4 linked regions of the Diceros bicornis minor genome follow. The protein of the gene in region 4 interacts with the protein of the main gene of each other region in a biochemical or structural test. Links are inferred from orthologs where the notes say so. Each region holds a gene or a part of one and is shown on either strand. Other genes may lie near its edges. The genes, in order: SMAD1, SMAD2, RNF11 and SMURF2.

Evidence for each region.
Region 1: the proteins of SMURF2 (region 4) and SMAD1 form a complex in vitro, tested with the Homo sapiens proteins (2 studies listed by BioGRID and IntAct, with this or other methods). The link is inferred for Diceros bicornis minor from reciprocal best matches to the Homo sapiens genes SMURF2 and SMAD1.
Region 2: the proteins of SMURF2 (region 4) and SMAD2 form a complex in vitro, tested with the Homo sapiens proteins (3 studies listed by BioGRID and IntAct, with this or other methods). The link is inferred for Diceros bicornis minor from reciprocal best matches to the Homo sapiens genes SMURF2 and SMAD2.
Region 3: the proteins of SMURF2 (region 4) and RNF11 form a complex in vitro, tested with the Homo sapiens proteins (3 studies listed by BioGRID and IntAct, with this or other methods). The link is inferred for Diceros bicornis minor from reciprocal best matches to the Homo sapiens genes SMURF2 and RNF11.

Annotation. Positions count from the first base shown.
Region 1 is NC_080750.1:34,663,959-34,671,324, reverse strand, and holds the start of SMAD1 (mothers against decapentaplegic homolog 1), read right to left. Parts: upstream 3,018-7,366; 5' UTR 2,771-3,017; intron 1,947-2,770; exon of another isoform or gene 1,605-1,946; intron 1-1,604. UniProt on the Homo sapiens protein: Transcriptional modulator that plays a role in various cellular processes, including embryonic development, cell differentiation, and tissue homeostasis.
Region 2 is NC_080755.1:40,633,142-40,640,533, reverse strand, and holds the start of SMAD2 (mothers against decapentaplegic homolog 2), read left to right. Parts: upstream 1-4,372; 5' UTR 4,373-4,455; intron 4,456-4,773; exon of another isoform or gene 4,774-4,857; intron 4,858-7,392. UniProt on the Homo sapiens protein: Receptor-regulated SMAD (R-SMAD) that is an intracellular signal transducer and transcriptional modulator activated by TGF-beta (transforming growth factor) and activin type 1 receptor kinases.
Region 3 is NC_080752.1:13,656,400-13,663,590, forward strand, and holds the start of RNF11 (RING finger protein 11), read left to right. Parts: upstream 1-4,191; 5' UTR 4,192-4,616; coding exon 4,617-4,739; intron 4,740-7,191. UniProt on the Homo sapiens protein: Essential component of a ubiquitin-editing protein complex, comprising also TNFAIP3, ITCH and TAX1BP1, that ensures the transient nature of inflammatory signaling pathways. Promotes the association of TNFAIP3 to RIPK1 after TNF stimulation.
Region 4 is NC_080757.1:47,385,876-47,393,708, reverse strand, and holds the start of SMURF2 (E3 ubiquitin-protein ligase SMURF2), read left to right. Parts: upstream 1-4,821; 5' UTR 4,822-5,087; coding exon 5,088-5,139; intron 5,140-7,833. UniProt on the Homo sapiens protein: E3 ubiquitin-protein ligase which accepts ubiquitin from an E2 ubiquitin-conjugating enzyme in the form of a thioester and then directly transfers the ubiquitin to targeted substrates.

The sequences.
Region 1 (7,366 bases), on a different chromosome or scaffold from region 4:
TTCAAGATCACATGAAGCATGGTTCAGGACACGCATCAGAGCTGCAAAGGTCCTTATCAGCACCCCCAGAGCATCTGTTTCTCCACTACCAAATGGAAAGCTATTTAGACAATGCAGACTGAACATCTCTGAGTTTATCTTCAATTTTTTTTGAAAAATTCAGAGTTCTGTAAGCCTTCTCCTCTTTTAGAAACACTATCATTCCCAGCGAGTTCAGCTTTTCCACTATAAACAAAAACTATGTACCACCCATATCTGAAGTATAACGCCAGACTCCTGCTTAGCTGCCCCTGTAATATGGTTTAATTATGATGACTGAACTAATAGGCTGACATCATAGACTTTTACAGGCTGACCCCATGTCATCCTGATGTATCATTTTGCACCAGTTCAGTGCCGTAAATCAATTTAAGATCTCAAGCAGGTTGAAAAGGCTGGTAATGATGCTTTCTCTGCCGTCTCTGGAGACTCTACATTATACACAACTTACATTATTTATAAACCCCAATGATGCCTCCATTAGCCTTGTAAGACTATACAAATGAGATCTTTTATACACACACAACTTGGCCTTGATTGTGTAGGCGACTGCAGCTAAAATATACTCGTCTAATTACACTCAAGTTTATTCTTTTTACAATCTGTTATTAAATTTTACCTTTAACCCAGGATTACTAGAAATCAAAATTACAAACTGAAATTTAGTTTTTAACTAATAGATGTATTTGGGAAAATGAGACTTACTTCCTTTTAATGCTTTAATGAACTTAGGTAGCAAAAATTAATTAAATTCCAAGAGGTGTAAGAGGTTAACATTTTTAATTGCCTGAAAATTGTCATTTCTCTAAAATGCAAAGGTCATCAGCTCATCAAGGGTATAAAACCAAAGGATACTGCAAAAAGGAAAAATGTATTTAGTTACATACCTATGGTTGGAGGAGTCAGAACTAAATGAAGGACAAATCCCTACCCTCAGAAGAAACCTGATCCTGCCTGGATCCTCCAGAGGCTCTGGCATCACCCACCTCTAGAAAAATCATCTCTCACGACCCTGGTTACAGTTTCCTAAGAATTGCAATATTACACAAATGTGCACCACCTGCACAGAAATATCAAATAACTGCAAATGGAAAAGAGGGTGGAAGGGAGGGGGGAGGAAAAGTACTTTAATCAGTACAGCATATTTAGGCCTGGCACCTACCTCAGAATAACAATGATGCAAAATATTTACACTAATTGAAAACGCTGGGGCAGTGAACAGTGATTCTGCCTCCATTCTTTTTAAACAGTGGTTCCAACACACCTCACCTACCTCCAATAAAACGTAAAGTGGTAATTATGAACAAGATGAAAAATCAACACAGGCAGAGAACAGTTTTCTCATTGTGTTTCTGAACGCAGGCATGCTCTCCACGACAGGCAATTAGAGCGAGAAATGTTCTGAAATTAAGGCATTCTGTGATTTAGCTGCTAAGTTTCAGCAAGAGGAAGACATACAGAAATCATGCAACTTCTGTATCATTTCACAGACGTTGAAACTTCAGATACAATGGAAAGAGGAGGACATATGGGGAAAGAAAAAGGCTCGTTGTCACAGCACTCACGAAAACGATGCTTTCTCAGGAGATGGTTCTGAGATGCGCCTCGATTTTCAGAAGGGAAGCGCCTTACTGGTTATCTTGCACCGTGTATTTAAAAATCGTCTGCGCCTCAAAATAAACAAAAGCCGCGGCTACTGTAGTTGTACGATCCGGCAGGCATTTGTTCCTCCTCCCTCCTAAAGTCCATCAAGGAAACGCTTTCCCAGGAAGCCTTCATATATATCAAGCAACCAGAAAAACAAGCCCACGTCTGTCTCGCTCACACCCACCACCCCCACCTCCCTACAGAAACAACCCCGAGAAACACTAACAAAGACAGGGAGCCGAGTCAAGGAACACTTGTTCAACCGCGAGCTCACAAATGCACATGCAGTGAGGCAATCGAATCCGGTCAAGGGAAAGGAATGAGACGACACTTGGAGACGGAGGGGGGTGTAGGCGGAAGAGGGGAAAAAAAAAAAAAATTACCCGCCGCCGCCGCCAAACCTTTGAATAAATTAGAGGGAATTTCAGTGCGAACTCTCCTTGACCTCCACCCCCAAGAGGCTCGTTGGGGCAGAGAAGGGGACCCGTCGGGGACGCGGAGGGGCCCAGGGCACCAGGTGTCCCGCTCGTGCGGGACCCGCTCCGCGCGGCGCCGAGCGCGTCCCGAGCCGCGCCGACAGCCGCCCTCCGGCGCCCGCAAGAGTGGCCCGGGCCGGCGCGGGACACAATGGGCCCGCGGGCCGCGCGGACGGGCCTCGGGCCGGCTGCAGAAACGGAAAGAGAAACGGGGCGCGGGCGGAGGGGGAGGGGACCCGGGAGGTCCCGCCGCGGGCAGGGCCGGGGCCGAGGAACGCGGCTTCCCCACCGCAGACCCAACAAAGACGCGCGGGGAACCCCGGCCGAGCCCTGCCGGGCGGGCTGGGCGCGAGGGGTGGAGAAGGTGGCAGGTTCGCTCATCCGAGCGGCCGGAGGCGCCATCATGGGGGGGGGGGTCCCGGTCCGCCCCGCACGGGGAAGAGCACCCTCCCGGCCGCAGCCCGCGCCCCCGGCGCCGCACGGCCGCGGCAGCCCTGCGGGCCCGCGCCCGCCGCAGCGGAGGCGGCGGCGCTGGGAAGCCGGGGGAGCCGAGGGGAGGGCGGGGACGCGGCAGAAGGAAAGTTGGTTTCGGGTCTGTTTCGTTTTACCGGGTTGGCGGCGCGCCCGTCCGCGCAGGGGCACGAGTGGCGGGGCGAGCGGGGTCCCGCGGCCCCGGGCTGGCCCGCCGGGCGCTGCGCCGCGCTGCGCTCGCAGGGTCCCTCCCTGCGCCTCGGCCCGCGCTGAGCCGCTCGGCCTCTCCTTCCTCCGCCCGCTCGCTCCCGGAGCCTGGATTGATCTGGTCGCGCTGGCGTCAGGGAGTCGGAGCCGCCCAGCCTCCACTCCTCGGCTGCCAATACCCGGCGCACTCGCCCGCCCGCCCGCTCACACGCGCACCCGCGCGCCGCCGCCGCCGCGCGACCAGGGATCCTCTCCAAATTCCCGGCCCGGCCAGCGCAGCGGGGCCTGAGGACGGCGCGGGCGAGCGGCCCGAGCCACCTCCCCCGCCCCCAGCCCCACGCCCAATTTATTCCAACGAGCAAAAACAACTCCGCGCGTTCCGACTTTCCTCCCCCTGCCTCCTTTAGTCCCGGTGGAGCGGACTTGGTGCATTATCTGCGAGGGAAGTTCTGTGCTCAGTGTTTATTATCTGGAATGTTCATCAGCACGTCCACCGCGCCCACCGAACCGTACTACAAACGTGGAGCGCATTTTTGACAATTGTCTTTCGAGCCTCGCCTTTTTATGTCTCGTTTTCATTGCCCCTCACTCACTCCCCAGTGATTTGCAAGCCCCAGAAGTTGCACGTACCCAGAATTGAATAGCTAGTAACTATTGCATGTGCTTATACCAAACCCTGAATCAATACATGGGTTGTGCGCCAATTTGGGATCTGAGTCGAGTAGGTAACTTCGTTGCTCAAAATAATGACAGATGCCACAATAGAACTCTAAATTTCTTATCCAATTTCTGCAATCTTTTAGATGACACCAACCCCTCAAATTAAAAACAGACTAGCTCTTCTCTACCTGATCTGCATAGACGGTGAAAATATATTTTTGTAAGAATTACATTTTCTCCTGGCCAGCTCCCTGGAACCTGGCATGAAATCTTGGATAATTACCATAATGTTGAGTTATGTTTAGAGACAAATAATTATTCTGAGGAGTAAATTTCACATGAACCAAAAGAATCATTACCACTAATATAAAGAAAACATCAAAGACCTCTGTAAACTAATGGTACTCTCCAATTGTTCCTGTATGTTTACATGTCCACATTCCATTTAAATTCTTGTTTATTAATTATTTTATTTCTGCATTCCATGTTTAATTATTCAAAGGAAATGCAACAAATCCCATAAAACACATGAAATACCAATTATAGATCAGAGTATTTCTGTTAATTTCTTTGTTAAGCTATTTGAGCACTTCCTGGTCAATTGTTGAGCCTCATCTTATTTTCCCTAAAAGCAGCATTGACACAGTTCATCATTCTCTGCTCCCGACAGCTGGAGTAAGCCTTGTTAAATGCCACTCAGATCAGGTCATTCTTCTGCTCAAAACCTTCCCTTGGTAAGTGGAATGTGCTCTATCCATACAAGGGAACATCATTCAGTCATAAAAAGAAAAGAAGTACTGACACATGCTACATGGATGAACCTTGAAATCATAATGCTTAGAGAAAGAAGCCAGACACAAAAGACCACAAATTGTATGCTTCCATTTATATAAAATATCCAGAATAGGCAAATCTGTAGAGATAGAAAGTAGAATGGTGGTTACCTATGTTTGGGAGAATGGGGAGGTTAGGGGGATAGCTAAAGGTTATGGGGTTTCTTTTTTGGGGTGACGAAAATGTTCTGAAATTAGTTTGTGGTGATTGTTGCACGACTCTGTGGATATACTAAAAGCCATTGAATCGTACACTTTAAATGGGTGAATATATGGTCTGTGAATTTTATTTCAATAAAGCTGTTAAAAAAAGGTATGACAACTAAAAGTAGTGTACTATCCTTGATTGGATCCAGGATTGAGTGGAAAAGCTATAAAATGACATTATAAAACTGTTAATTTTTTTAACCTATAGGTGACCTTTCTTAGTGCAGTCCTCGTAGCTACAAATGATCATTATTAATACTATGCAAGCTATGAAATTTGATTTTTGCCCCTTGTGCAAATTATTTCTTTAAATAGTAATAAAAAAAATTGGACTTTTTAAAAGAGGACATTATTGGGACAATTGTGAAAACTGGAATGTGGGTTGTATTTTTTTTTTTTCTTTTGTGAGGAGGATCAGCCCTGAGCTAACATCCATGCTAATCCTCCTATTTTTGCTGAGGAAGACCGGCTCTGGGCTAACATCTATTGCCAATCCTCCTTCTGTTTTTTTCCCCCAATGCCCAGTATGTAGTTGTATGTCGTAGTTGCACAGCCTTCTAGTTGCTGTATATGGGACGCAGCCTCAGCATGGCTGGAGAAGCGGTGCGTCGGTGCGCGCCCAGGATCTGAACCCGGGCCACCAAAGCGGAGCACGCTCACTTAACCGCTAAGCCACTGGGCCGGCCCTGGGTTGTATATTATTATCATTATATCAAAAAAAATTTTTCCCTTGACTTCCCATTTCACTCAAAATAAAAGTTCTCACAATGTGGACAAGAGTCTACACGATCCTTCCTCCCTGCCCTCCGTTACCACTCTGACCTACTCTCTCTCTTGCTCACTTCCTTAAGTCACCCTGGCCTCCTCACAAATCCTGGAACAACCTGGGCATACTCTCACTTCAGGACCTCTGCACCAGCTGTTCCTCCCTGGAAAGCCTTTCCCAAGATGTGCACATGGCCCTCTGCCTAACCTCCCTCAGGTCTTCCCTCAAGGGTTCCCCTCTGGATGAGGCCTACCCTGGCCACTCTACCTAAAATCTAACATCCCCCCGCCCATACCACTCCCAAACACATACTTTTTATATCCTCTTCCTTCCCCTGTGTTGTATGGATGTTTCACTTATCACTACCTAACTACTTAGCCAAAAGTGCAGGATTTTTATATTTTCTATTATTTCTATTATTATTTTATTATTTCTATTAATTCTATTATTCTGTTCTATTATTCTTTTTCTACTTAGCCAAAAGTGTAGGTCTGTTCTGTTCATTGCTAACCTCTCAGTGCCTAGAGCAGTGTCTGGCACCTAATAGCTCACTAAACACCTGTTGAATGAATGAATGAGTGAATGAATGAATCAAACACTGTTCAAGTCACAGGGGATATGGTGGCAAACAAAACAGATAAAAGTCCCCACTCTCATCAAGGAAGACGAATAATGAATAAATACACAAGTATGCTAGGTGGTGTACACGGGATGGAAACAGCAAAGTAAGAGGGATTGCGAATGGGAGAGGCTGCTATTTCTATAGGGGTAGGGAAAACGTCACTGAGAAGAGATCCTGAATGAAGACAGAGAGCATGCTACATGATCAGGGGAGGATTTCCAACCTCCCAAGCAGAGGGAAGAACAAGTGCAAGGACCTTGAAGTTGAGTCGTCTTCACCCATTCACAGAAGAACCAGAAGGCCAGTGCACTGACGCAGGGAGGAGCCGACTGCAGGAGGGAAGGCAGTGTGTGGGTCCAGGTGCGCACAGGCTGGTGGCTGCAGAGGTGGGAACAGAGGGACATTGTCTTCTCTCTGCTTCTGTTAGCTTGATGAAATAGCCACGGACCCTACTTCCTGAGAATGGTGAGTGTAGAAGAGACGTTGCAGGTTGGAAGAGAAAGGAGTGGATATCAAACAGTTATCTTCTGGGAGAGTTTGAGAGCACATGAGCTACGGAAATGTAGTAGGATAGCCAGGCAGTGCTATTACGTGCCCATTTGAGGTTAGTGGTTATGAATTTAAAGCAAGACCGGTCAGCACGGCTGTGGATTTTTCTCTAGCCTCGGTCAGCCTAAGGGGGCAGAGCTGGGGTTTTGCAAGTGGGTGTGATGGAAGGAAAGAGGGTCAGAGAGCAGAGGGTGTAGGCAAGGGAGTGACTGTGGGGGGACTGGGATAAGGAGGAAGGTGAGGACATAAAGAAGTGGGGGGTGATGGAAAGGTGATAAGATGGATGGATAGAAGGTCCCAGTGGGATCCAAGAACTGCTTCAGTTGGGAACCCCTCCCAAAAGCTGGGGAACGGTCTGAGAACAGGACGCTTGAAATTGAAATCATGGAACTGGGACAATTTTGCATAATGCCAAGATCTAGCAGTGTGACCAGATAAAGTGGATGGCTGAGGTAGGGAGGAGGACAAGATTCTCAGAGAAAAGAAGGTATCAAGGAACCGAAGGCAAATTAATTACGCTTCAAATTAATTTGACAAATTAACCATTTGTCAAAAAAATCAACTACTAATCATTTACAATAAGGAGAACCCTTAAAATTGGCTGCAAATTTTATAGGTTCAAAATGTGAACCCCAAAATTTATTTTGAGAGATGGTTCTAATCAATGGAAAAATAAATGTAATGTCAGGTTTGTGCGTCAGCTCCTTAAGTGAATTTAAGTGAATCAGTTTCCCTGGAAGAATCCTGCCAAGGATCACTGATGTGGCATTCTTCGCCTTAAAAAGGAATGTTCCAGTGATAACTATGGTGGGGGGAAAGGTATAAATTATGAATTTTTGATGTTGAAATCCTTATTCTCTCGTCACACCCTTTCCTCCAGAAAACTTTT
Region 2 (7,392 bases), on a different chromosome or scaffold from region 4:
ATATGCTTGAAATTTTCCAAGAGTATTATACCTTCATACACTTATCTTGCCTAGCAGCACTCTGGTTCAGTCGATATTGTCACACACAGACAATAATCATCAAGGCATAAGGCCCTATTGTTGATATATGACTACCAAATTGTCCCCCCTTACAAGAGAACTGTAAACAATTTGTACATTGTTCTCTCACGGTTTAGACATTGGCCCGTTTAGTTTTTTTTGCAAAATATGTAGATGTCAGATAATATTTAAATACCTTTATGGGAGTGCTCATTGCACTGAAATTGTATTGTAATTTTCCAAGTAATATTTGAATAATCATTGGATTAGCTATCTAATGATCAACTGACTCACTGATTATTTATGCCTTTAAATACATGGACAAGAAATATAATATTAAGTATCAGACGCCTGGAGAATGGTGCGAAATGTAACTTGTTTTCACCAAATATTTTTCTCTCAACCAGAGCCAACTTCTCTTTCAATCTCTTTCTCTCTATAAATCTAAAAAACCTTACTTGTATGTCTTGTTTTCTTGAGGATTTTGGCCATAAAATAAGAATTTTCCAGCATGATCAACCAATGCTTTTATGATAGGCACAAAACAGATACCTGATAAACACTTGCTGAATTTAATTTTTTTCTTGTATCTACTTTATTCTTGTCTCCAGCTTTTCCCATCAGATGTTAAATATTTTTTTAATTTTAATAAAAACCAGCATGTGAATAAGGACTGTGTGTGTGTGTGTGTGTAGAGGCAGGTGTATACATCTTCAACATAAGTTCATTTAAAACATGAAATTCCATTGTAGCGAGATAAAAACCCAGCTGGTGTCGGAGTTCTTCATTATCATTTACGACAAAAGTAACCCCATACATTTGCTCTTTACAATTTTTACTTTGGTTATCTCATTTAATCAGTGTCCTTTCAATTGCAAATAACTGGACCTTTAAGATGTAGTAATGCTCACTACAACTTAGTTCCACCAGGATAAGCAAATATAGAGACTGGATGTTGACATGATACTCTACAGTTGTATTAAGGACGGAGCAAAGCTGGAAAGAATGCTTGCAGACCTATGACACACATTTTCCACTACACAAATGTTGAATTTCACCTTTCTTCAATTACTTAGTATTTATCTTAGGGTGTGCAAAGACGACTGACAACAAGATGCTGTCCTTGCCCTTCAGGAATTTACAATCTAAACGAGGAGACAAAACATACACACAAGTAAAGTTAAAAAAAAAAACCCCTCAAGACTAAACTAACAGATCAAGACACTAATCAAAGTGAAGTCATGGTATGTAAATTATTCCAACCATTAGAGAGCATTCATAGGATAGTGATATCCTTTCGGCTGGGGTAACCAGGAAAGGCTTTTCAGATTTATCAGAGAGGAGATGGAGTATGAGTTCTATCTTTTGAAAAATCAATACATGGATATATATATATATGTTTTTTTAATTCAAACTACAGAAAATTAATGATGAAATTTAAGTTTTCCACTCATGACTCCAAGGTTCTTTTTCTAGAAGCAACCACCATTATCATTTTTCTCAGGTGTCATTCCATTACATTTCACTACTTTTAAATGGATTCTGAATTGGTTTTGATTTAATTGATTTTGCAGTGTCATGCGTGATGCAGGGTTAAACTCGGTGTCTATCCACATAAAAATAAGACTCACTCAACATAATTCATACAGTAGGGACCTAATGATAGGTCTTGAGGTACCTTAGTGGATTTCCAAGTTGGTTGTTGCCACGGCAATCCTGCTACATCCACTGCCAGTTTCTGTCTTGACCCACTTTGGTTCAGATGCATTTCTAGCAGAGCGCACCGTAGACAGGCTCTGGTTCCTAAGCCCTTAGCACATTGCATTGGTAGCCAGATGCTGCTCCTCTCCTTCCTCAATCCTACAGATCCTGGAAGGCTTCCTAAATGGAAGGGTTAGGGACCCAAAGTTTGACACTTTGGAGACATGGTCTAACTTAGAATTAAGCATATTATCCACTGTATTAACGTATCCCTCAAAGTACCTAACTCCCACACTAGGAGCAGATTCTCCTGGAATTCTGGCTAGCCCTGCTTTTGTTTCTTCTCCTACTCACCCACATGGACACCCAAACGCACACCCTGGTCACATAGGAGAAAATATTTGTGTGACCCAGGGTAGCTTTTTATAGGCCATTTCATACTAAAACTGTTGACTTGTGTTAGCAGGAAGGACCAAAAACTCCAAAACAGTCTTTCTACTTCTAAATCAAACAGCCTTTGCCTTAGACCATCCTCCTGGGTGGCTCTGGGAAGTGGACACAGAAGTCTTGGGAGGTGTAACAGCTCCACCAATTGGCTTCCGGGGCCTCCTTCATGAGCTATTTTTAAAAAGCAGTGAGTAGAGCTGCCTCTAAACTGACAATGAAGAACTACCCCCGAGGTAAACTTCTGAAGGAAAAATTTCTGCTGAGTAGGTTCATCTTAGCATAAATGCATGCAGGCAACACAAGGGAAGAAACCATAACGATTATGGATTTTCTTTTAACTTCAAAGACTCGTGCTATTCACTTTCATATTTCTTATTTTACTTAATCATCCCACAACTATATTTAAATAGCTATCAGTGCAGGTGAGTTCTACTTGCCAATGACCACAGATGCGGAACAGAGCTGCATTCAAAACTACAATTTGCCTAACTCCAGGGTTCATGTGCTTCATCACAATCTTTTGATGAGAAAAGTACTTCCATGTTTGAGGAAAGAGATGGTGGAAATGAAGGAGATTTTGAAAGGAAATCTGGAAAACCTGTAAGACTCAGAGGATCGCTAAATCCGTCTCTCTCCAGGTCCATCTGAAGGCATCGTTCCCCGGGAGGCGTTCATTTCTGAAAAGAAAGAGGACACTTCAACAACTCTTACTGTTTGAAATGGTCACTTGGTACTTCCTGCTTAGTGATTTGTATTGCTAGTGCCGCCTTCCCGCTTGTTCGTCTTGAGTCCCCAATTAAATCCATGAAGAAAGGAGGTACACGAGAAGGAGTGCTGACAGGGAGGCAAGAAAACCGTGTTCTAGTCTTGCCTCTGCCACCAACACCTCTGTGAGACCTAAGTTTCTTTCCAACTTTAGTTCTATAGTGCTCCCTGCCTAACATAGTAGGTGCTTAATAAATACTTGATGTGATTAGTTGGGTTCAATATTTCAGCGAAGGCTTGGGTGTCCGTAAGGTACAAGCGACAAGGTTACCCGAGTGCGGTTACGCCCCCACCAGCTTCAGGCAGCCAGCAGCTTAGGGCCTTGTAGCGCAGACGTGGGAAGTTGGGGCTTAAGAACTTCGTCTGAACAGTGGAGAAATGAAGGAGAAAATAACCCAGCATTCACGGGGCATCGTGCTAGGCGCTTATCTTTCAGACTTCGCAAGGACCATCAGAGCATGCATGATTAACACCATTAGACAGAACCAAAATTCCGGTTAAACAAAAATACCTGGCATCCCCTACCCTGGCCCTAATACCCATAAAAGCCCCGCCCTGGGCTTAGTTACTTCTCGGACCTCGCCCCCATTAACCACCACCACGGCCCCGCCCACTCATTCGCATACGGGCGCGCCAAGTGTGGGTCGGGGACCCCGGCTTCTGCGGAGCCGCCTTCTGCCCTGACTCGTCCCGTCCTCCGGGCGGCCCCCGGGCCTCCCCAGGGGATGAGCACGTATCCACGCCCGGCTTGATTACGGAAGGTGGACCAGGCGGCGGCCCCCAACAGGCCGCACCCAATGGCGCTGGCGAGACACCGAGGAGGGGGCCCGGGGCCGAGGCAATGAGGGACGGGTGGTCGCCAGCGCCGCAGATTACGTGCCTTCCCCTCCCTTCCCTTCCCGAGCCTCTCGTGCAGCGCGCCGGAGACGAAGTCAACCGAAACCGCAGCCGTCCCACCCCGCCTCGTCCTCGGCCGCCGGGCCGCCCGCCTGCCCGCGCCTCGCCTCACGCTCTACGGGGGAGGCGGGACCAATCAGCGAGCGACGTCTCCCTTCCGATTCGAGGCCCCTGACGCGCGGCTCACACCCCGAGCACCCCGCGCGCTGATTGGTTGCCCGCGCCGCCAGTCCGGCGGGAGGGCGGGCCGGGCCGAAGGGAAAGGAGGTGGGGAGGTAGTAGCCCGCGACTCTCCGAGTCCCGCTCGCGCCCCGGCCCTTCCCGGGCGCTCGACCTCCTTTTTCCCTCCTCCGCTCGCCCCGTCTTCCGTGAGCGCAGAGCGCTGCGCTCGGCCGGCGTGCCTCGCGCCCTAACGGGCGGCCGGGGGCGCCAATCAGCGGGCGGCAGGGTGCCAGCCCCGGAGCTGCGCCGGCGAATCGGCGGGGCTCGCGGCCCGGGGTGGGAGGCGGGTCTACCGCGCGGCCGCGGCGGCGGAGGAGCAGCTCCCAGCCAGCAGCCAGCGAGCGCGGAGCGAGCCGCCCGGAGGTGGGTGCGCCGCGCCGCTGTGGCCGGCGGCGGAGGGCGCAGGGCGGAAGCGGAGGTGGGCCGGCGGACGCGGCGGCGGAGCTTCGGCTGTCCGGGCGGCCCAGGAGGTGGGGGGTGCGGGCGCGCGCCCGAGGGGAGGAGGGGCGGCGGCGGCGGGACGCGCGTCCCCACCCCCTCCTCCCCGCGGGCGGCGGCCGGGCCCGCGCCCCCTCCCCGCGCGCCGGGGCCGCGGGCCGGGCACTGGCTGGGGGGCGGGGCGGGAGGCCGGGCGACCGCGAGAGTGTTTTCAGTTCCGCCTCCCATCGCCCATTCCCCTTTCCCCTCATCCTATTCGGAAGAGGAAGGAACAAAAGGTCCCGGACCCCCGGCTCTGACGGGGCGGGACCCGGAGCCTCGGTGCAGGTACAGCCGGGCGCCCGGCGGGCCCCGGGGCCGGGGGTGTGTTTGTGTTGGGCTCGAGTCGTGAGGCTCGCCGCGTCACATGGCCACGGGCTGGGGGCTGGGGTGTGGCGAGGTCGGGGCAGCGCGAGCCCGGCCCTTGGGTGCGGAGCGCGGGGCCGGCCGGTCGGCCGGCGGGAAGGGGTCGGCGCCCGGAGCTGCCCGCCCGCCGGGCCCGGGGCCGGCTGTGGCCCTTCCCTTCCGCCGCCAACACACTTGGTAGTTGGTCCTGATGTTCAAAGCCGGAGGGACAGAGCTGTTGTTGCAGGAGTTGTTGGGGAGCCGTGTTACGAGCGTGTGTTGCTTTGCTTCCACTTTTTAATTTTTTTCTGGTCCTGTAACCTTTGTGAACCATTGTAGTCTCGGGGTTCCGAATTGCTTGTGTGTGCTCTCACACAAACACGCACACTGGTGCTGGTACTCTGTCGAGATTCTTCTCTGCTCACTTGTGAAAGTTGCTCTGTGAGTGGAGCCTGTTAGTTTTTGTCACACGCCTTTAGAAAGCACGCTAATTGATTTCACGTATTTCAAACTTCGGTTTCAAATTTGCAACTTTAATTGTTCTCTCCTGGGGGATACTGTCCTTGGGTTGGGTATTTTTGTGTTTTATTGACTTAACCCTTATGTGGTTGTGGTTTCCTTTTGATCCTAAACAAAAGAAAAACAATACCTAGGTTGGTTTTGGTATTCCTTCCTCTTGACCCTTTAAAAGCTAAATACTACCGGTTTCTTGTCAACTAAACCTTTATTTAAAAAAATCTCCATGTAAAACGAATTTGGAAGTAGTATTTTCTATCAGCGATGTCTTATTTGTTACAGTTTGGAGTATCCTAAATTTTGGTGTTTTAAACTTTTAAAACGGCACATGTAAAGTAATTGTTAATGAATAAATAAATGATCACGCAGACTTAGAGTAATTCCATCTTTCTAAAAGTGGTCCCTGAAATTTGAATTAATTTCTAGAATTCTGAGTGATTCTGTAATCTTAGTTCCTTTTCATTTTCTCGCTTCTGTTTTCATATGAATTGAGCCTGTACCACAGATTGTAAGGATGTTTTTCTTAAGCCTAAAAAGATGATAAATTTGCTGTCAGTACTCTGAAAATACATTTGCTGTCATTCTGGTTTTGACCTCCTTTTAAAAAAAGATTTCCTTACATGAAAGTGTAAATCAAATAGTTAAATGAAGTTTGAGGAGTTTTAACGTGACCAGATAAATAAGTGAAGCAAATAGAACAGAGATGGGAAAAATAATGTAGATTTCATAAATGTATTGTAGTTTGAGAATTTTTTCATTTGCTTAAAAAAACCCATATGGGATATTGATAGAATTTTCTCCACCAAAAGGTCGTTTAGCAAACATTTATATTAAATTCAGAAAGTAACGCTAATTTCGTTTTTAAAGTTCCTTAGTTTTTGCCGTAAAATTAGTTGTGGTAGTAAATAAGAATAGTTCAAGTGTGTGGGCATGTGTAAGGTAAGTGCCCCGTTATACTCTTAATGTTAAAATTAAATGAGTTTAAAGTAGTTCATTGGCCAATTTTAATTAATGTAATGTGACTGGGAACATCCGTTTCTGGGCTTGTTTTAGTAGGAAATTGCTCTTAAAGCTTGGTTTTTATACTTTGTAGCTATGCTTTCTAAAGTGATTTCAGGTTATAGGTGTTAAACAAAAGTTTGGTTTTTCAAGGTTGTAACTTACCTGTACCTAGTAATAAGTGTTCAAATCTCTACACAATCTGTAAGGTTCATGAAATAATAGTGTTGTAAGAAACTGCAGGGCAATTTCCTGTTGTTTGTGGCTTGTCAGGCTTGGTATGTGTTTTAACTCTTAAGAAAGAATTTGGGGATGGTTTTGTATATTTCAGCAGAAATTCTCTTTAATAGGAACAAAGGTTGTTTCTACTTGAAGGTGGCAAAAGGTCCCCTTTTCATTTTTGTATTATAAATATTGGAATCGTGTTGCTATAATCTTGTTGCTTCACAATGGGAAAAATATGTGAGTGAAAAACACTCTAGCTGCATAATCTGCTGATCAAAGACCTATTGAATTTTACCTTTTGCAAATATTTTCAGTTTTGGCTTTATAAAGATCTGAAAGCCCTGCTTATTCTTGTTTGGTTTTGATTCTGTTGGTTTTGTACTTTAGGGTTCCAAAGGCCTCGTTTTGTAGCAGCTTTTTTATACAGGTGTTTTTGTAATGCATATAAAAGCTGTATTTAGTGCAGTCTGGCAGATGGTGGTTTATTCATATTCTTGGGACAAGAGTCATTTTTAGAGGCTGGAGAGGGGCATGTCTTTTGGATTCCTTGTCTTTTGATGGGAGTAGAGGAGCCATTTTTAAGCTCTTAGTTTCTGTAAGAGGAAAGATGTTTTCCACTGAGTATTGCCAAGGTATGTCAGAAAATGTGAAATAGAAAGATTTCAAAACCAATTCAGGAGAGGTTATGCATTTATTCAACAAATAACTTGCATTTATTGAACAAGTAGCATTTATCCA
Region 3 (7,191 bases), on a different chromosome or scaffold from region 4:
TCTTTTGGCTATTCCCAAATAAACTCATTTTGAGGGTAAAATAACAGGTGAATTTGCTTTTAAGTTGACATAAGTGTATCTTACCACAATTAAAAAAATGGAAAAAAAAAACCCTGTACACAGATGTTTATAGCAGCTTTATTCATAATTGCCAAAATTTGGAAGCAACTAAGATGTCCCTCAGTAGGTGAACGGATAAATAAACTGTGGGACATCCAGAGAGTGGAATATTATTCAGCGCTAAAAGGAAATGAGCTATCAAGCCGTGGATAGAGCTGGAGGAAACTTAATTGCGTATTACTAAGTGAAAGAAGCCAACCTGAAAAGGCTACATACTGTATGATTCCAACTATATGACATTCTGGGAAAGGTAAAACTATGGAAACAGTAAAGAAATTAGTGGTTGCCAGGGGTTAGGGGTGAGGGAGGGATGAATAGGCGGAGCATAGAAGATTTGGGGGGCAGTGAAACTATTCTGCATGAGGCTATAATGGTGGATACATGTTATTATAAATTTGTCAAAACCCATAGAATATACAACACTGAGTGAACTCTAACATAAGCAAGGATTTTGTGTGATAGTGATGTGTCATTGTAGGTTCATCAATTGTAACAAATGTACCATTCTGGTGCAGAATGTTGATAATGGGGGAGGCTAGGCACGTGTCGGGGCAGGCTGTATATGGTAAATCTCTATACCTTCTCGATATTGATGTGAACCTAAAACTGGTCTAAAAAATAGAGTCTATTTTTTTAAAAATGTGGCTCAATAGAAGATACTGGATTCTCATATCTGCTTCTGCATTAGATCTCCTGCTGTCAGAGAAAACCAGAGCCAGACAGAAGTTAAAGCAGTAAAGGCAAATTTTATTCAGGAACTATTGCAATAGGGGAAGGGAGACCTAAGTATAGAACTGGACTCCATTCTGAATACAGAAAGGACAAGTGGGGATTTATGGGCAAGGAACAGGGTGGGAGTCAGTGGATGGAAAATCACTAAGAGGAAACATCAGGGATAAGGGGAATTCTGGTTAAACCTACTTGATAGGATTTTTGCTGAAGGCAGGCCAAGGTGGTCAGATACCAAGGATGGAGGATTCTGGCTAAACTGACTCAGCTAGATTCTTGCTAAAACTGGAATAAGTGGCAAGGACAGAGCCCAAGGTTAGGGCCTTAAGGGCTTAGAGGAGCCCACCTGGAGTTAGGTCATGGAGAGTTTTTGTCACTGCAATAGTCCTGGTTACTATTTTCAATTTTAAATTGTGTTTTGTGAGTAGGTCATACTCTCTGGTCTATAGGGCATTTCCCAAGGGCTCCTTTCTAAAGCCCGGTTAGGAAAAAAGATCATTGAATAGCTACTTCCTTACAAAGGTACTTGTGGATGCCAAAGGCATTCAAGAGAAGTCTTCTCCTATTTCCTTATTTTTACACACTGAGGGAGGAATATCAGGATGAAAAAGACATAGCCCCTTCCCACAACCTAATAAAGGCAACTGGTATACGATTCAAATCCTGGCTTTACCCCTGAATAGCCATGTGAAGCCATATTTCTATTTCCGTAAAACATGAATATCAATACATACCTTTCAGGGCTCTTATGTGTCTGGCTCAGGCTGACAAATAGCAGTTATGATTATATATACTAAAAATTGTGTTAAAATATTCATACATGATATATAGATATACGCAATATAATACAATAATAGATCCCATTTATTTTGTATTGTTACATATATTCCAACTAAGTGAAATCAAGGACAGCTACATGAAGAAAGTGATATTTAAGGAAGGTCTTAAAAGATGGCTGGATTTCAATAGAAGCGAACAGCATGGTAAAAGGTCAGAGGTGGAAAAGTATAGGGAAAATCGAGGGCATGGCAAGCAGAGTGATGTGGCTGGAGTTAGGATGCCTGGTCGAAGTCGGAGTCAGAATCACACAGGAGGTGAGGATGGGACGAAATGGTGCAAGGCCTTAATGCCATGCTAAATTTCTGAACCAAAAGTCTATGAATGCTCTCTGATCACACTTTTCATGGCAATAATGTGGAGAATGGATTGATGGTGCAGAGGCAAGGGTTTCATTAAGAAGCTGTGGCAGGGCCCGGCCCCATGGCCTAGTGGTTAAGTTTGGCACACTCTGCTTCAGAGGTTCAGGTTCAGTTCCTGGGCGCGGACCTATACCACTCGTCAGCAGCCATGTTGTGGCAGCGACCCACATACGAAAAATAGAGGAAGATTGGCACAAGTGTTATCTCAGGGCAAAAATTCCTCAAGCAAAAAGAGGAAGACTGGCAACAGATGTTAGTTCAGGGTGAATCTTCCTCAGCAAAAAAAAAAAAAGAAGCTGTTGCAATAGTTCAGAGGAGTCAAGGAAAATGGCAATGGGGGAAAAGAGGCAAATGCCAGAAATTTTCCTCCCAAAGGATCCAATAATTGCACTTTTCCAAGCTAGAGAATGAAGCAATGATTCTTGATGTATGGAAGACTCTGATATAAACCCAGCATTAGGGATACACCTATTTATGTGGGAGCTATTAACGGGAAGGAAGGCAAGTCTAGCAGAAGAGGGCATACAGCAAAAAGGCTATATTTAATATGGAATATGAAAGCATTTAAATAAGTGATTTTGTAAAATAGGGACGTTTCTATTCTACAGTAGAACAGAAAAGCACTCAGGCCCATACTAGTTTAACACAGTCCTACCTCCAAGAATCCTCTCTGATTCTCATCCAAATGATCTAATCACTCTCCTCTGGGCCCTCTAAAAACCTTTGATGACGGGAGGCAGAAGGACTCATCTGTTTACTTGTCTTACCAGCTGGACTCTGGGCTCCATCAGGAACAAGTCAGGTCTGGTCAATCAGTTTCCCTAGTGCCTAGCATAGGGTCTGGAGCAAAAAAAAAAAAAATCAGTAAACGGTGAAAAAAAGAAATGGAGTCAAGACCAACTTCTTGTCTTCTTGTTGAATGAATCACTCTTAGGAGCATTCCCATCCTTCTTGTTTCCTTCCTTTGCACACATTGCTTCTTGAGCTGTTTGTTCATTCAACCCAGAAGAGAGCCTACTCTACCTTAGGCAATGTGCCAGGCTTTGCACAAAAAGAGGGACAGATGATTCAGCTTGATCAGGCTGTGGCAGAGAAAAGCTCAAGGACTGAGAGCACAGAGGAGGTGACTAACCCAGACTGGAGGGTTAGAAGAGCCTTCCCAGGGGAAATGAAGCTGAGTCCAGGAACGACAAGTGGGAATAACAGTTAGCCTGATGGGAAGTAGAAGGCTGCGAGTGGGGAGAAGTGAGTTTCTGTCAGAGAAACAACATGGGTAAAGGCTTCAGCCAGAGGGAACAGTTTTCTAGATAACCGAAAGTACTTTATTTAGACAGCCTAGAGTTTAGAATAGGTGACGAGGCAATGCTGGTAATGAGATTGGGGAGGTAGTCAGATTTGAAAAGCATTTAAGAATACTTATAACAGTATCGGGAAGCCATTAAGGTTTTAAACAGGGGAGTGACATGATCAGATTTACATTTTAAAAAGATAATTCAACTGTGCAAATAGTGGATTGGATGGGGGCAATGGCGAATGCAGGGAGAATAGCTGAGAGTGTTGCAGTAGTGTGGGCAAGAGATAATGGTGGCTTGGACTATGGTGGTGGGAATGGAAAGAAACAGAACAATCCCAGATATACAACTGGAGGAAGAATCTCTCTGGTTGTGACGGACGAGGATAAGGAAGTGACTGGAGACAGAGGGGAAGGTTCATTAGTGAGCTTGGACTTTATTCCGAAGGGATAAAGGGGAAGCCAATTAACATTTTAACCTAGGGAGCGACAGAATCAGATATGGGTTTATAAATAGATCACCCGGCAGAAGGCAGTGAGAAGCCCGTCAGAACAGTGCACAGGTAAGAGCTGAGGTGAGTGGAGAAGAAGAGTATATGGGAGGCGCGAGAGACCGAGAGAGGTTTCGGAGTCAGGTACCCAGTCAACTGTCAAAGAAAGAAAGAAACTGACGCAGCCCAGGAACAGCTGGGAGAGGGTGGGGGTAGGGGGGTGCGGCCGCGCGGCCGGAGCTGCCCACGCCTCCCGGCGCCGGGGGCGGGACCAGAGCACGCAAGGCGGCATGACGCAGGGCCGCAGCTGGCCTCGTTCTGGGCGCCGCCGCCGCTTTGAGGCGGAGTAGGATGAGGCCCGCGGCCGTGGCTCCGGCGTCGGCAGGGGCAGCAGCAGCTGAGGCAGCAGCTGAGGCAGCCGCGACGGCCGCGCCCCCCCCTCCTGACCTGGATTAGGCCCAGCAGCTCCGTGGCCGCCGCCGCCCCGCGGGGGGGCGGGGTGGGGAAGTGCTTCGTCTCCCCGCCCCCCCCGCCCCCCATCGCCGCCTCACGGGAGGCAACCGCCGCGACCCCGGCGGAGCCGGTGGCCCAGCCTTGAGCCCCCACCCCCGGGGACTGGCATGAGCGGCCCTTCGGCGGCGCCGGGGGGCGGGGGAGCCGCCGCCGCCGCCTGAGCCCCGGCCTGCCGCCCGACCCCACCTCGCTGACCGCGGCTTACCGCGAAGCGTGCGACGACCCCGCCACTGCTTTCTTACTCCCCCAGATCACACACCCCAGCTCCGGAAGATGGGGAACTGCCTCAAATCCCCCACTTCGGATGACATCTCCCTGCTTCACGAGTCTCAGTCCGACCGGGCTAGTTTTGGCGAGGGGACGGAGCCGGATCAGGAGCCGCCGCCGCCATATCAGGTAGGGGAGGGTGTGTATTTGGGGAGGAGGGGGTGCGAGGAGCAGAAACAGCTCCAGCCCAGATTGAGGGGGCTTCGGGGCTGTCACTGCCCCTGGCCTCGGCAAGGCCTGGCCTGGGGGGCGTTGACCCCCTTAGGCCTGGATCCAGGAGTGATTGCTCCCTACTCCCAGAATAGAGGGGATCCTTCACCTCTCCCTCGAGCATGGTGTGGGGATGGTACCCTCTGTCCTTGAGTTCTGGGATCCGAGTATGTGATCATAGCCCCTTGGCCAGTGACTGGTGGTTAGCTTGTGGAGTTTGGGAGTGACATTTTCCTGCCTTTATGCCTGAATCGTGGAATCTAAGCTGTGAGGTTTGGGGATGGTTTTCTTATCGCACCGGCAGCTGGATTGTGAGTTCTGGATAGGTGGTTGCCCCCCGCCCCTTTAAATTTTCATGTGTGATCGTCGTGTCCTGTCTCCCTCCTCCCCTCCTCCCTTGTCCGTTTGTGTCAGTTGGATCCGGTAGATGTTCATTTCTCCTTCTACTTGGGAGAAGACCTTTAAGTGGTCTTCAAGTGATTTTAGTCCCAGCGACATCGAGAGTTACTTGTTTACTTAAATGTATATATTAATTTTTAATCCCTCCTCCTTTTGCCCCACCCCTATGACACACCTTTTAATCACGCTGACTTAATAAAACTTGATTATCTTGAACTTTGGAAACCTTTAAACCTAACTTGAGAAATACCTTCTGTTACTCGTTTGTCTCCGTATGTAGCAGACTTCCTCCTAAATAGTTTCATTGCTTTTTGTTCAACAATCAGCAGCCCCAGATGTGTTTACACAATTAATAAAGAGCTAAGACCTCTTGAGAAACCTCAAAATAGATACGTAGATGTTATAATCCGTAATATATATAAAACCTTTTCCTCTGCTTTTTCGATTTTAAATGATGTTGATTAAAAACTTTTTCCAGAAGGGCTCGGGTAGTTAAGTGGCTTAATGTTTTTCCTGAAGGAGGTTTAGTTTTCTAACTAGGCAGTTTCCTTTGTTGTTTCATGTGGTGACATCATTATCTAGTGTTATTCTTTTCTCATTCTTGTGTAAACCAGTGTCTCATCACACCAGAAAAACCTGATCACTTTTGCTGGTTTTCTGGATAAAACCCTTCAGGGGTTTCATATATACCAATGAAGTCCAGTCTTAACTGTGTCATACAGAAGCCTCCGTGACTTCTCTCACGTTCGGTATTCCAGGCCTACCAAATACACCAGCCTGTTCACACCCCTCTGCCTTTGCTCCAGTTGCTCCCTCTGCTTGGAGCCCTTCCCCCAAGGTCAGCCAGGTGAACATCTAATCTTCTTTGAGGACTCAGCTCTCTTGTGTCACCTGCTACCTGAAGTTCCTGTATTTCCCTCTCTCCCCCCTGAATCCATGCACTTCCTTGTTTGTGTCCCCCCCCCCCGAACCCTCCCTCTACGCTTCCATGAGCAGCACATATAACACTTGAGTGTTTATCCTTGTTTAGTTAGATGTATGTCTCATCCTTGGGCATTTCCCTCCTCCCTCAGTGTAAGCTGCATGCAGGTGGAGACCCTGTGTCTCCTGTTTGCTCTTGTATCCCCAGCATCTGGCTCACAGTAAATACTCAGTAACTCCGGGATAAGTGAAGACTATAAGCCCTTGAGAACAGGGTCTCTGTCCCCAGTGCTTCCAGCAATTTGTGGAATATAAGAAGCACTTAAATGTTGAATGAATTAGTGAATTTGAATTCCATCTTATGTTTCGTAAGTTTACACACCCATTTCTTACAAAGAATTGTCACAGGGGAAGTCTTAAAAAATCCAAGCTAAATCTGGATGTCTTTCCACATCTTTGAAGCAATTGAATTGTATTTCACTCTTCGTTTCCCTCATAACGTGCTTATTTCAGTTTCACGAGCAAATTTTTTTAGAGGTATGAAATTTTATTTCAAAATCTCCTTACACGTTCCCTAGCTCCTTTCCAGACAAGTTGAGTATCTTTGATTTATTGCCCTCTTTCTCTTATCCTTATGATAATATAGTGTTAAGGATAACTCTTTAGAATTTATGGGAAGTGTATTTGCCTTTTCCAGGAGGACTAGATGATAAGGAGAGTTTTGTTGTTATCATGAAGGAACATTCTTTGAAACATGTTATTTGTGACAGTGGGATTTTTTTGTGGTTGCCTTTTCCTGAAGTGAATGACCCAGATACTGATATGCAAATTTGGTATCAGTTGGAAGAAAATAATTTCTTTAAAAGATGGTAACATAAAAAGAAACTTTTGTGGAAAAAATTTTGTCACCCCTGAAGGAAATAAATTCTTAGGAATGATTAATTTACATGATCTGAAAAACACCAATCTAAGGTAAATGATTTATATTTTCAGTGAACAGAAGTAACTTATTTTTTCTTCAGAAATAGTATATAATTAACAGAGCTGCAGG
Region 4 (7,833 bases):
GGGATGGTCATCATCCTCTAGATCACCACTGTTCAAGAGAAGTATAGAGTGAGTCACATTTGTAGTTTCAAATTTTCCAGTAGTCATATTAAAAAAAGTAAAAAGAAATGGGAAAATTAGCTTTACTACTATATTTTATTTAACCCAATATATCCAAAATATTACCATTTCAATATGTCATCAATATAAAAAATAAGATATTTTGCCTTCTTTTTTCCCATATTAAGTCTTCAAAATCCAACATGCATTTTATACTTGCAGCACATCACTAGCCATTTTTCAAGAGCACGATAGCCATATGTATTAGACTTCTCTAGATTCTAGAAGTGCTGCCCCTGGGTTGTAGGATCCAAGCTATAGGCCGGGTTGCAGGTGAGACTCAGTTCTGGAGAAGAACACAGGCAGGAGCAAGGCAGACAATCAAAGGTGTTTGGGGACGTGCTTAGGACAGACCTGAAGAGGAAAAGGTGTTCCAAGTGGAGACAAGTGAATGCAAGGGACTGGAACCCACTTAAACTTGCTTAAGTAAGGGGTGAGGTGGTTATTCTGCACAGTGAGATCCCTTGGAAATGAACTGTGAGAAGTCACACCTGGGCCAGGAGTACTGGCAGGAAATCTGTGAGACAATCACTTTCTTTGTTTCTCTCTTTAGGGTTATGAAGCCTCTTATCTCCACTTCTCTCTATTTTGTTAGTCTCTTTCTACACACTCATTTCCTCTCTCTCTCTCTCTTTTTTTTTTTTTTGTGAGGAAGATTGGCCCTGGGCTAACGTTCGTGCCTATCTTCCGCTACTTTATATGAGACGCTGCCACGGCATGGCTTGACAAGCGGTGAGTTGGTCCGTACCCCGGATCCGAACCTGTGAACCCCGGGCTGCCGAAGCAGAGCACGTGAACTTAACCGCTATGCTACCAGGCCGGCCCTCATTTCCTCTTTTTTTAATGTACTGGAACCTTAAAATGGCTTCCTCAGCTGCTAACACTATGACCTCTCAACCCAGCTCCCCACCGCTAACAGCCTCCCAGTATCTCTGTCACATATTCCAAGGAGAGAGACTCTGATTGGCCTCTTGATCAGCCACCCACCTTTGGCTCAGTTAGTTGAGGCCACGCTCACCTAACACAAATAAGGCCACCCAGGCTCATCCTTGATGTAAGGCAGTGGTTCTCAAAGTGGGTTCTCCCCACCAGCAGCATTAGAAATGCAAATTCATGGGCCCCACCCCACCCTGTTGAATCAGTATCTCTGGGGAGGGGGCCTAGGACACTATGTTACAACAGTAGGTGAGGGCAGATTCCCTCAGAAGGAGATGCAAGTAGGGACTACCATCTTAGTACACCAGGGTAGAGGCGGAGAAGGCAAGAGCCAAGGCGAATGGCACCAGGGAGCCCAGATCTGGAGAGACACAGGTCCCTGATGTGCCCTCAGCTTCCATCACCAGGGACGAGGTCTGCTGGGAGGGGGTCAGGGAAGGCGTCACAGAGAGCAGCTTGTAATGCAACCTAATCCTAAACCATGTCAGGACAGGATGGCACATGAGGGTTTTCAGTGAACCTAACTAAGGACCTGGGACAGGCAGAGGCAGAGAGGAAATGAGTGAAGATGGGGGAGGGAAGGAGGGTCAGGTTGACAACAGCAAGTACAGGGGGGGGCTGTGCTTGGCTGCTTCATCAGTTGTAAGCTGAATAGAGGAAGCTAGAAGTAGATATTAAATTAAATTAAATTCATGACATTTTAAACATTAAAGAAAGTTGAATTTTAAGCAGTGGTAGAAACTGCTGAGTGCCTGACGTTTGCTTTTTCCATGGCACATAAACTGTATTAAATCTGAAATTTACACTACAAAAATAGCTTCACAGGAGTACCATTATTAACATAACCTTACCTCAGACAGATTTTTTATTACTGGAGACAACTCTTCTATGTAAAAAATATATTAATGGCTGGAGCAGAAGAAAAAAACCAACTACAGATGGTAAGCATTTTCTTGCAACGTCACATCAGATTTAATATTAGCCTTGGAAAATAGAAACAAGTTTTAAACAAAAAGTTTTAAATATTCTTATAACCATGTGTAGATTTTCACCTCTAGTCTAGGATACCATCATAAAGAGTGCAACTTACAGTGATTAAAAAACATTAATGGAAAAGTTTAAAACTTTTGCTCAAAAATGTTATTTAATGAGTGGTTGTTAGCATTTTCATTGGAAGGTTCTTTTAAGTGGCATTTATGGAAAAAGACATATTTTATTGGTATGAAATAGGTGGAGTTAGTATATTTGAGACAGATGCCTAAAACAATGATTTGATAAAAGGTGCACAATTCTACCAAGAGCAAATTAGAAGTCATAAGGGAATAAAAAGCCTTTGAAAAGATTTTCTGCAATTCCCATACCCATTAGAGACATGTATAGGTACAATTTACCTTGGAAGTGGATTTCTATTTTAGGAAGAAAGAAAAGGGTGAATTCCCTAAGAATTGTTATTCCTCCCTCTTTTTCTCAAAAATTATGTCTAGAAGTGTTGCCATGATGAAGCAATGCTATACATCCAATGCTGAAATTTAATCTAATGAAAGTTTAGCTCTCCTTAACAGTATGAATGTTTTAAAGTATTATTCTTATCTGAATCTTTTATTTTAAACAATAAGATTTAAACATACACAGGCAAGCTTAAACAGAGTCCTCCCCTGCATATTAAGTACGTATACATTTTTCTGCACCATCACTTACATATCTGAATGTAGTGCTTTAAACTTCACAACAGGCAATCTCTCCAGCTTCCCCACACATTCTGAAATCCTAACTTTATTATCTAATACAAAGCTACCAATTATGTTAGTGGGTGGTTGGGAACAAAGGGCGTGCCATAACAATAAGGCAAATGTATACGTATATATCAATTTGCTAAGTTTTATTGCCATTACCCATCCAGTGTTTTAAGTTGTGATAGCAGCTACTGTTCAAATTGATTAGTGTATCTTCAGGGCTTCTGTAGTACAAAGAAGCATTTCTAAAGGACCTGGGTCACTGCTTTACACATGGGAGGCACTCAGTATTTGTTGAATGAATTTCTAGCACCATCCCCTGAATTTCTAGTCTAACTTCTAGCACTTTATATAATTTTTGGATCATTTTAATTGTAGAGCTGTATCCAGACTGACGGGATGCTCTTGGAGGTCACTTCATCTGGAGAATGAAGTGACATTACTGATGAATTAAAAGTAATGATTGATACTGAATTAGGATTAAAATATATTAGACTTTATTAAACATTTAAAATTGCATTAACAGCCTTAAGCAAAACTAACAGTACACAAAAAATCGCCTATGCTGTTACCCTTAGTTTTCATTGTGCTAGATACTTTTGCATGCATACATATAACTCTTCAATCTGCTTTTAAACTTCATTTGTAAACTCTTCCATATTATATGGTCTTCATAATTGCCATTTAAATGGCTGCATAAAAATCCATGCCAGGGGCCAGCCCCACGGGCCTCACTCCCCCTTCCCGTGCGTAGTGGTTAGGTTGCACCAGCTCTGCTTCCGCAGCGCAGGTTCGGTTCCCAGGTGCTGACGGTACAACACTCCCCCGGGCCATGCAGCGGCAGCGACCCACATACAAAATAGAGGTAGACTGGCACCATGTTATTAGCTCAGGGCGAATCTTCCTCAAGCAAAAAGAGGAAGATTGGCAACAGATGTTAGCTCAGAGCTAATCTTCCTCAGCAAAAAATAAATAAATAAAAATAACTCATGCTAATATAATATAATTCGCCATTAGACTGTTTGCTCATTCCTCCTTTTGTTATTTAACTGAACTTTGCAAAGAATATCTTCTGTATTACTGTACGTCAAGAATAAATTCCTAAGAGTGCAATTACAGGGTCAAAGAGTAAAGTACAGTTATTTTTATTTCATTTTCTGTTTTTTCCCCCTGAGATAAGGAAATACAGTACTGTATGAAAAGCTTTTCATACATTGCTCTCCAAGGTTTATCTTGTTCATAATCCTTTAAGGCATTATTATCATCCTCCTCTCCTTGTGCTACAGCTGGAAAAAGAGCCCGAGCAGGCAGGTAACCTGATCTCGCTCACCAGGTGAGTCCTGGATGGAGGTGGCAACTACGATACCAGGAGCAAAACACCCCTGGGGATTTGCTGGAATCCTCGGTGTGGGAACACCGTCTCTTCCCTCACCTCAGCGACGCTCAATTCCCTGAAGGCAGCGGACTCGGCTCTAACCTTGCCCGCCCCAGCCTCTCAGAGTGCCCTGCACGCAGTGGGCGTCTAAAAAATGCAGTCCGTGTTGCACGGACAAACGCTCTCCCTTAAGTGGGCTGGACACCAAGCCCCTCCTGGTGCCACAGAGCTCCGCGCCGCCACTTTGTTCCTTGGCCCGCTCCCTCCTAGACTCCTGCGTGGGACCCTCTGCTGCAGCCCACGCCCGTCCTGCCCGCCGGAGGCCAAGCGGAGCCCGGGCCTCGCGCCCCCGCGCCCCGGGCACCCTGCGCGCGCCCGCCCAGGCCCCGCCCGCCGGCCCCGCCCCGCCCCGCCGGCCCCGCCTCCCGTCTCCTCCCCGCCCCCCGGAGCCGACGAGTGGCGGCGGCGGCGGCCCCAGGACCCGGTTCGCTCAGACAAGAGGGCGGGTGGAGGAGGAAGCGGCCGAGCCCGGAGTCCTGCTGCGGCGCCGCCGAACACCGCCCGCCTCAGCCGACCAGCCCCGTCGGCTCCTGGGTCTCGCCGAGCCGAGAGGAGGGGAAGGCGGAGGCGGCTGCGTGGAGGCGGCGCGGGCGCGGGCGGAGGCGGTGCGGCCGGCCGCGGCTGCCGCTTTGTTGTGCGGCCCGGGCCGAGGAAGGAGAAGTGGGAGGAGGGGGGAGCTCGGCGTCCCGCTCCCTCCGCGGCTCATGGCGACGACGCTCGGCACATCCGGGACCCTCCTGCCGTGGCGGCCGCGGCGCCGGCTGCTCGGGCCCCAGCCCCGGCAGCTGTGGTGACTCCGCCGCGCCTCGCCGTCGCCCCCGCCCCGCCCGCCGGCCCCGGGCCCCGGGCCCCGCGCCGCCGCCGCCGCCCCCGCCGCCGGGGAAATGTCTAACCCGGGGGGCCGGAGGAACGGGCCCGTCAAGCTGCGCCTGACAGGTGAGGGGGGGCGGGCGGGCGGCGGGGTCCGGGCCGGGGCAGCCGCGGGGTGGGCGAGCCGGCGGGGGGTGTCGGTGGCCTTGGGAAGGGCCAGGGTCGCGATCAATGGTGAGTTGGGGGTCGGGGACGTGGGAAGGCCTAGTTCAGGGAGAGTAATGGCAAAACCACTCTCCCTTGTTTGGAAATTCGTAAAAAAGCCCAGGGTGACTCTGGGGTCTTTTGTTGAGGGGAGGGATCCCCCGGTTGGAATTCCGGGCGGATATGAGGTCGAAAAGCCTTGGCCGGGGAGCACGACTCTGTCCCGGGGCCTCGGGGAGCAGCCCCTGGGCTCCTGCCCAGGTGGGGTGGTCGAGGGGATGAGGAACTCCTGTGGCGGGGATTATTGAATCCGGTTGCCGACTGCGCGCAGTAAACACTCCTTAAAGATGGAGCGCTTAACGGGAGGGTGTGTGTGTGTGTGTTCCCTGGTTGGTAACTTGTTCGCCCACTTATGCCCGCGTGTAGAGCCTTCACTCTCTGCTGCCAGCCGCGGCAGCCGCCGCCACACACCTGAAACGCACGTCGTTGGGAGGGAAGGAGACTGAGGTTGACTTTTCCGGTGTGTCTGCCTGATCCGACGACTCGGGCTCTTTGTACACTCTGTGTTTTGGAAGTGTTTGATTGTAGGGTAACATGTAGAACAACATGGGTTGTTCCTTGTAGGCCGCAGAACTTGTGTCTCACTTCTAACTCTAGACCTGCTTTAAGAACACACTTTTTTTGGGTACATTTCTCAGTATGTGCTCATACAAACTTTCAAGCGAAATCGCTCTTTCCCCACTCTCCTCCCCTTCCCTTTTCTAAATGGAAAAGAATGTCTGGAGGGGTTGCTAGATAGAAGGCTTCTCTTGCAAAGTGTTTATGATTCCAAGTACGTTGAATCTTTAACATTACAGGTACGTTTTGCTTACGCTGCCATTTTTGGTATTCTTACATGGTCGCATTACCCCATTTTAGGAAAAAATTATTTTTCGTTTGAGAAGTGTAATTGAAATCAGTGTAGTTATCCTAGTTTCACCATTCAGTGTTAATAAATTATCCATGTTGATATTCGGATGTGTGGTGAGAAAGATGGTTTTCATAAGAGGATCTGTGTGTGTGTGGGTGCGCGTGTAAGAATAAACTATAATTATGTTTGCCTATACTAGACTTTAAGATTTATATGGACTAATTTTGTAATTGAATGCTTGTGTGTCACATCCTGGTCCGCTGGCTGAACTTGGAGATAAAAACTTGCAGCGAAGTTGGTATTTGAGAATTTAGCTTGACTGTATGTTGGCTGCAATTTAAAAAATATATTACTTTCACGACAGTTTTACTTTCCCTAGGGAAAATGGCAAAGAATCATTAACTGAGTGGTTCTTAATGGAAAACCTGGATTGGGGGATGCCTGTCTCCCCTATTTCCCCCAGTTTCCTTATTTTCTTATAAATCAATGAAAACCTTTATAAGGGATCTTTGTTGCTTTAGAGTTTATCTACTGCTGTTCCTCTCTGGAGTCAGTCCTGTGTCAGTGATCATGGAAAGAACCTGTGAGTCCAGGTGTGCAAAAAGCATCAGAAATAGGATGTTGGCCATGTACTTCCTTCTAGCCTATTCACATAATGAGAAAATGAAGGAAAAAACAGGGATTTTGATTTTCTGCAGATAAAATGAGTTTGAGATTTTTAATGTGACTCAATAGATCTTAAAGTGTTTATCTGTAATTTTCTTACTGCATATGATACATTATAAAAATTCATGAGTAAAGTTAGAAAAGATTACACTTATTTTTAGGGGGGAGAGGAAACACGACTAAATTTATAGAGTGATTTGGTATTTTTAGATTTTTCTGAGGAATTTTAAACACACTGTGTCCCCTTAATTGTAAAAACAGTTTGAGGTACTCTTAATTTCTTAAAACCATTGGGAATTTGTCTCTGACATATTTTAAGAGAAAACTATTTAAATATTAAAAACATTGCCCTCTCCCTTTTGGTTACATATGGTGGATTCTCTTCTGTTTTGCCAGGAAAACTAACATATATTTTTTCATTTTTGTTCATTTACAAATTAGATGGTATAGATTTTAACAAATAGATCTCAAGAGCTGGATTCAATTAGCAGCTTTTTAGGACATAAACATTAAAGGGTTAGATGGAAAAGATTGTTTTGACTGACTGGATAAATGACAGGGCTGTGTTTGATGTGTGTCCAGGAATTGGTCTGGAGCCGGTGCCCAACTTTTCAGTCCATCTTGAGAAGCCAAATAAAATATTTAACCTAGGCCTCATTTTGTTTTTAAAAAAAAAAAAAGCTGATTCTTTGTTAAGACCTTAAGAAATGTTTGGCATACCTTTAGACTAAGTGTTTAACAGTTCATTTAGATCCGGGTTCTATAATAGAGGAAAATCACTGAAAAAAAGGCAGATCCCACAGTGAATTTCTATTTGGTTTACAATACACTTGGGCTGTAAGATGCTTTAAAATTATTGTTCTTTGCTTTATGTTAATACCGTACTAGTATTTTAAATTTATAGAGTGCTTTTGATTCCATGGTGCTTTATGAACTATCGTTACTCAATTATATCTTTAATGTAGAGGTGCCCCTTTACTGAAAGGTGTAAACAATTCTTGTGTGATGACACACACACGCTCATACTCACACATACATGC